Linked DNA regions of Lepisosteus oculatus. The protein of the gene in region 1 purifies or fractionates together with the protein of each later gene. This does not show direct contact. Links are inferred from orthologs where the notes say so. Each region holds a gene or a part of one and is shown on either strand. Other genes may lie near its edges.

Region 1 (3,750 bases):
GGAGAAGGAGAGCTGGCCAGCCGGCCCAGCTGTGTGCGATCAGTACAGTACCGGTAGGTCCAGTACAGCCGAACACGACACTAACAGCTCTGAGTCTGTGGCTCACGAGCGCTGCTCTCTCACCCCTTTGTGCTCCAGTCAGCTCCTCTGTTCAAACACACAGTGAAACCCGGGACCGGCAAGCCTTAGCACACTGCCTCTCAGATCCGTGCAGAGACTCGCTGGCAGGTTAGCGGGCCCTGGTGTGAGAGAGGAGTCTGGACACAGGAGAACCAGGAACACTTGTTCCTGCCATCAGAGAGCCAGGAGAAACGGGGAGAAGCTGGGAAGTGACTGAATAAGAGCCTCATGGCCTGATCATATTTTGATTATGTCCTCCACGAAGACACAGTATTGACAGGGAGCTTGGTGCTCTGTCTTTTACAGTTGTATTCGGCATTATTCCACCTTCAACTGGGCAGGATTTATTCACAAACATAATCAACCATTTTTGTTTGGTAGTTTTGTGAACTTCTGGTTAGTTCACATCATATTTCTTGTTCACGTGCACTAGGGATCGCTCCACACTCCTGCTTTGTCACCCACTTGAACAGAGCAGCTGGCAGAAAGGAGACACAGTGGTGCTTTCGACTTGCTGTAACACACTCTTAACAACTGGTGCTGCCAAACTGCTCACATGACCAGAAGAGCACCTGAGCTTGGCTGGGTCGTGTCCAGTCGTGAGCAGTTGGAACGAATCAGAGTCTTCTACATGGATTTTAATGGGGATTTAGTGTCGCTCGTGTGGGTTTACGCCTGTGAGCAGACATTTTCAGGAACTAATCGGTGCGATTGTTGTACCTGAACAAGGTACAGCACTCACAGCTGGGACCACGAGGCCTGCCTTTACAAAAATCTCTTTCAGATTAAAATTCCCCGGGATGGCTCTCCGCGAAGGGGGAGGGGGGAGGGACTGGAATCTCATCTTTTTGGACACTTTTCAATCTGAAGATCTAAAAAAGCAGAAGAAATCCGAAAAAAAAAGTTCTTGCTTGTGAGAGCACACTCCAGTTTTAAGCATAGGAATTAATTTTGCACATATTTTATTGTTTTTACAGTGACTATGATCAGCACATTTTGCACACACCTATGTATTTATTTTTATTTATCTTGTTTGTCTCTTGTTTTATAACTATTCTGATGTCTGTTTTGCTTGTCTTGGGCTGGACTGCTGTAACACATCGATTTCCCTACGGGATTAATAAAGTATTATCTATCTAATGCAACAACAGCAGAATCCTCACTAACCTACAGGAATATTATTAACAACAGCAGCGGGTAACACGCTCGCTTTCCAGAAGTTCAAACCGAATAGTGCCCAAAAACATGAAAACATGAGTTTCTGGTCTCCACCCCCTTTGTCAAGAGCCATTACAGTGAATTTCAATTTGAATAAAACGGGACGACAGCAGCCACCAGCACAGCCGCTCAGAAGTGGGCGTGGGAGTGGGAGTGGGAGTGGTGTGGAGGCGGGGCCGTCTCTCGGCCTCGGTCAAGTCCGAACAGATGCAAATGGCGGGAGGCCTCGCCCCACTCGCGGATTGGCTGCGACGGGTACCGCGCACGCACACGCCCCCGCAGGCCCCGCACGCCGCCTCGGCCCTTAAACACCCGCGGCGCCGCCGGACACCGCAGTGCTGTCGGAACGAACCCGGAGTCGAGCGGCGAGGACGAACTGACACTTCGCGTCTGCAGGGCCCCGGCAGTTGGAAACCGCGGACGCTCGCCGCCCGTCTCTGCTTTCTGGGAAGACCGGCGGGGAGAGGCGGTTCAAGACGACGGATTTGGCATCAGTTCTTTCTGAGGAGTGGTGGTGGTGGGGTGGAAAGAACGCGTTTTTCTTTAAATTAAAAAAAAACGTATTTTGTAACGCTTCTAAACCGGGAGAAATGGAGGAATGGAACTCGCTTCCGAACTACAGCTCCGCCTATCACACCTACGCTTACGGCATGACCTACCCGCCGCCGCCCGTCCAGAATCACCCGTCCTTGGGCTGGAGCGGCACCGGCTTCACCCCCTCCGGCTCGGACGGCCTCTTCCTCGACGTCCCGCCGACGGCACCCCAGAATGCCCTGCCTCAGGACGCCACCCGTGTTCCCGGGGTCCCGCTGGCTGGATCCCCGAGCGACTCCTCCAGCGAGACGGAGCCCAGCACCCCCGGTGAGTGCCCGGCGAGCCCCTTCTCTCTAATATCCCGTATTGTCACTTTTTATTCGCATCTGAGTGTTTCTGTACACGCGTGTTTTCCGAGTCTGGGTCTCCGGCGGTTCCCAGAGACACGGTTGTTTATCCGCACTGCCGGCGGCGTGGAAAAGCAGGGAGACGCGTTTCTCTCAGACTTTCTCTGCCGCCTTCACCGGCTGCGTGTCTTTCTTGACCGAGTTGGTTTTGTATTTGAAAGCGCCGGATTTTCGCGTAAAAGTCTCACGATGTAGCTGTGCGTGTGAAAAGCGCTGCGTGTTTCAGAGAGAGGCGCTGCGGCCCCTAGACTGCAGGTCGGCGTTGTTGGTTTCTATCGGGAAGCAATCCCGCATTTCCACAGCGCAGCGAGAGATGTAGTACTGTGCCCCCGCTGTGTGGGTCAAATCAAGGATTCACCCACCTGCAGCGCCTGTCCTCCTGCTGAACACGGGGTGCGTGCGTTTTCCACGCCGCGGTGCCTCACGCCGTCCTCGGAGGGATCAGGTGGCGACGCGTCCATCTCTCTTTTTCCTCTTTTTCCCTCTCTTCTCCGTCTCTTTCCGTTATGTCGCCACTCTTTGGTGCGGACAGTGTGGAGTCTGGCGCCCCCCCGTGGCCGCCGGGAGAACTCGGTGGGAACAGAGAGGGGATGTAACACGTTTCGGTGGATCTTCTGTCTCCAGTTGGAATGAATCCGTCACTTTAAACGATTGTGTGTCTATTTACGGTGCTTTTATGTGTCCTGGGGTCTGACCCTCTCCTCCGCTCTCTGTGTCCCAGACTCCTGGAGCTCGCCCAGCGCCGACGAGAGCTACGCCCTGAGGCCCCCTCCCGCGCCCTGCAGCCCGGCTGAGACTGCCTGCGCCGAGCCCGTGCCTGCTCCCTGCAGCTGGGCCAAAGGTGCAGAAGAGCAGGGGCAGCAGCAGGGGGCACTGCTGGACATGGACCCAGGTGCGGCCCCAGCAGCTGGGAAACGTGCCCGCAAGCTCCGCACGGCTTTCTCCGAGACGCAGATGACTGCGCTGTGCGAGCGCTACATGATCAAGATGTACCTCACTCCAGCAGAGATGAAGAGCCTGGCTGACAAAATCGGACTATCTTACAAACAGGTAACGGAGTCACTCCATCCCCCAGTACAGAGCGCCCTGTCTGTGTGTGTGGGACAGACCAGTGCAGAGCGCCCTCTCACCATCCCCTGTCTGTTTGCAGGTTAAGACCTGGTTTCAGAACCGCAGGATGAAACAAAAGAGGCAGCAGAAGACTCTGACCGAGGGAGAGGAGCAGGTCCCCAGCTCTGGGTACCCCATTATTCAGCCTCTCCTCTTGGAGAGCTCCAGCTCTGCGTACCCCAATATTCCACCTCTTGCCTTGGTAAGCACTAGCTCTGCTTACACCAATATTCAGGCTCAGACATCGGAAAGCTCTGCGTACCCCAATGCTCAAGCTGAGGCCTCAGAAAGCTCTCCGTACCCCAGTATTCAAACTCAGTCATTCGAAGACTTGGGCTCTGTCTACCCCAACTTTCAAGCT
Region 2 (3,750 bases), on another chromosome or scaffold:
ACGCCTCAGCCATTACACCAACGTGCCACTTAACTTAAAATTAGGTAAAGGGTCTTTTCCAACATTTGGAACAGCCCATTCATTATATAAAATCATGAATGTCCAAAAATCACTATGTAATCAAATTACTTAAAAACCCACCAACTGTCGAGCAGGAATTTTAAACACAAATACAATGAAATAGTTTAGGTGTGTAGCTATGTCAGCATGCATAGGCTGCAAAGGAACAAGTAATAGGTTTACTCCATGCTGAATAAAGAAGAAAACAACGTTTCGGCTGTGGAGCCTTCTTCGGTTGTGACACTTGTTCCTACACAAATACAATGCCATCTTAAAGTTAAACGGGCTTGAACTGGTATGACTGAACTCTAAAAGCTTTGATCTTGGGCGCCAGAATATCGCAGCACAGCAAAAGATAAAGTAACATTGAAAATGTTAATTTTCAGAATTACTGCAAGACATTAAATGTGTTTAATTAAAACAACTAAATATATTCAGACGGAAACCAATATTGCCCCACTACAAATTAACACGTTACAAAGGTACAATTAATCATACAGTTTATTAAAATGAAAATATAATCCAAACTGTCACAGTGAATATATTTGTTTTTGAACAGTCTTCAATACCCAGAATATTTTAATATAAACTTTAAGAAGTAAATGTTTCATTGAAACATTGAACGTTATATTTACTTATGAATATTACCAAGCAGCTTCGGATAAACAATTCTTTATTTGAATACCTCTAAGTTACTAATGAGTAACTTGGAAACTTCAAAATGAAGACACCAACCGTCTCGGCGTCAAATTAATGTGGTTGCAGAATACTACCTCTAGCTCTGCGTGAAACAAAAGCTACTCCCGCAATTTCCATTCAATCAGGAGCTACAGTCATAGTAACTCGCTTAGGAACCAATCGGATACACAACAGATGCTAAAACACACGCCCCCGTATCATCAGCCGCCCAATCAGATAGAAGAGGCATGGATTCTAGAATTTTTTTCTGCTCGCTTGCTTTAAGTCCCCGCCGGCGCCAAAATTCAAAGATTACCATCTTTAAACTAAGTAATGGAAAGGACATACAAGTATAATTAAGAAAAAAGCGAAATGCTTCTAACCAGAGAAAGAATCAAACGAATTATCGCCGTCATAAATCTCAGAGAATCAGTTACTTTAAATTGCTTGCATTTTGACTGTTAGACTGCGGGTGAACTAGTTAGGCCTGTTCACCTAACTGATATAATATAGCCCTGACGTTTCTTGAAAATCTACGAGAATGAAACAATTTATCTGTAAAAATGTTGGAAAATGCTCAAGTTACAACTATTATAAATTCGTTCAACTACAAAACTAAATTGCTTCAAAGTACTAGCAAACAATAGATTATAAGATTATAATAGTTTTTCATAACAGCGCTTTACGATAGGCTTTCTACTCCACCTAAAATCTGAACAGCAAAGTGTCACACCAGCTCATGCAACAAAATTAGAAATGTGCTCGCCCCTTGAGTACCTACGATTTCTCCCCGCCATTTCGGCAGGACGCACTTTGCACCTGAGATAAGGCAGAAAAAAGGCTGCCCGACATCCGCAGCCCAAGGGAGATGCGCTTACCTTCGGGAAGGTCTTCCATGCACTCGAAAGTGATTTCAAACTGGAAGGGGTTTCCGAAGGGACTCGGGTTGTCCAGGACGGCAACGTTCAGCACTTGCACCTTCGCCATTTCTGCAGCTGCCCGGCCAACTCGCGGTGCAAAACAATAATTATCCGAGTCACTCAAAGGGACAAAACTGCGTAGAAACCCCCAAATCCCGTCTTTGCACTGCTGAGGATCTAGTTACAGAGAACCGTGCGCTCTAACAGGGGGTGACAGCTCCTTACTAAAACTAAAAAGTATATTTTTTCCTTACGAAAGTGAATAATTTCCTGTATTTATACGTCGCTTATTTAAAATGAGTCTTGGTACCAGATCTTCATTTTCTGCATCCACACACCAAAGGTTTTCGAAGTTTTTTGTTCCTGACAAGAGGGGGGACTCAAACCTTCAGATCCGGACAGAAAGCGTATGAAAAGTTTCAAAAATATGTTTCCCTCCAAACGTCACAAACCCGTTCCCTTCGCGGTCTGCCCGAGAGAAAGAAAGAAACTCGCTCCCGCCAGCGTTCACAGCAGCCTCCGCCGGACAGTAAGACTAGGAGCATCAAGCTTGAAGCGGATTGGCCAGGCCATAGCCATGGGACCCAGGAGAGCTCTGCTACCGATTGGCCAGCAGCTGCAGGAACTATAGCGTCTGAAACTGCTGGCGCGCTGCTGCGTGACGTCACTGTCGCAGAATTCTGTGCAAATGAGCAGATTCGAGATGTTTTGCACAGTTGCTCGTTCTTCGACTGCCATTACGCGACGTACCCATAATTCCTTTCATAGAGTTGTGCATAGTATTTGAGCTGCAAGCAAGTGCAGCAGGGGGTGCGTTCCTAAACTTAATCAAACGACCTTATGAGTGCCTAAGAAATGGGAATTTATCAGGACTCGACACCACAAAATGAGTAAATTACGTGCTTTATTTCAATTACAATGGCGAAGATTTGTCAATTACTAGATTTTGCTCTCTGTGTAATCAGTAAATTACAATCTATGTTTTTCTCAGAAGTCACCGATGGGAGAACAGTGTGTGTTATACCATTCCAAAAATTTAGAGTATTACTGTTTCCACTTACGTGATTTCTGTGTTTGTTGAAATGCATATCCCACAGCAGCATGTATAGGATGGAAAATCAGAGTTATCCGATTCTGGTTATTACTAAGGATATTTCTGTTCTGCTCACCAAAACAAAATGCACGGAATGTAATTGCAATTGACATGTTAATATCAGTTTCGCGATGTTTTAATTACCCCTACCACTGGCTCACACTGATGTTTTTTTAAAGTTGTATGTTCTTTAACTTTTTGTTGCTGCCTCTGTTCTGTGTTTATGTTTTTGGTATTTTCTTAATGTCTTTGGAACATACATGCAAATACGCATTGCACTTGTGCATATGGCAATAAACTGAACTGTACATAGAAATGTTTCAAATGAGAGGAGGCCATTAAGCCCATTTTGCTCATTTGATAGTATTTACTGTAATTGATCCTAGAATCTCATCCAGCAGTTTCTTGAATTAAGTCAAAGTATCAGCCTCAATCACATGGTTAGCTTGTTTCACACTACCACAACCCTCTGGGTAGAGAAGTGCCTTCTGTTGTTGTTAAATACACTTCCATGTAGTATCCACGTGTGCCCTCTGGTTTGTGTTTCATTGTTTATTCTGAAGAAGTCCTCTGGGTTGACATTGTCAATTTCTGTGAGAATTTTTAATATTTGTATCCGGTCCCTTAATATTGTTTTTCGAGACTAAAAAAGTTTTTTCAGCCTCTGTGTAGAATATTCCTTGAAGACCCAGAAAGCATCTGTTATTCTCTGGACTCATTTCAAAGCAGTAATATTTTTTTTGTAATGTGATAATCACCATTTTACACGGTATTCTAAATGAGACCTAACTACCGCAATACACAATTTTAACATGACATCCCTTAATTTCAATTTTAAGCTTTTAATACAGCCAAACATTTTATTTTCCTTTTTAATTTCTCCCCACATCATCTGGAAGATGTAAGCAATGTACCAACATAAACACAGATGTCTTATCATGAGTAGCTTCTTCTAGCTTAGTGTTTTCCAGTCTGTATTTATATTTTAACTTCTGGGTG

What was found. Proteins that work in one complex are often made in the same cells at the same time.
Region 2: the proteins of ipo4 (region 1) and histone chaperone asf1b-B purify together in Homo sapiens (affinity purification with mass spectrometry; 5 studies listed by BioGRID and IntAct, counting the BioPlex papers as one, with this or other methods). This does not show direct contact. The link is inferred for Lepisosteus oculatus from reciprocal best matches to the Homo sapiens genes IPO4 and ASF1B.

What each region holds. Positions count from the first base shown.
Region 1 is NC_090699.1:14,287,659-14,291,408, forward strand, and holds the start of ipo4 (importin-4), read right to left. Parts: upstream 2,756-3,750; 5' UTR 2,741-2,755; coding exon 2,642-2,740; intron 2,200-2,641; coding exon of another isoform or gene 1,929-2,199; exon of another isoform or gene 1,516-1,928; intron 1-1,515. Other genes in the region: homeobox protein NANOG, read left to right, coding at 1,929-2,199, 3,001-3,329, 3,430-3,750. UniProt on the Homo sapiens protein: Nuclear transport receptor that mediates nuclear import of proteins, such as histones, RPS3A, TNP2 and VDR. Serves as receptor for nuclear localization signals (NLS) in cargo substrates.
Region 2 is NC_090706.1:21,998,471-22,002,220, forward strand, and holds the start of histone chaperone asf1b-B, read right to left. Parts: upstream 2,232-3,750; 5' UTR 1,726-2,231; coding exon 1,617-1,725; intron 914-1,616; exon of another isoform or gene 877-913; coding exon of another isoform or gene 834-876; intron 1-833. UniProt on the Homo sapiens protein: Histone chaperone that facilitates histone deposition and histone exchange and removal during nucleosome assembly and disassembly. Cooperates with chromatin assembly factor 1 (CAF-1) to promote replication-dependent chromatin assembly.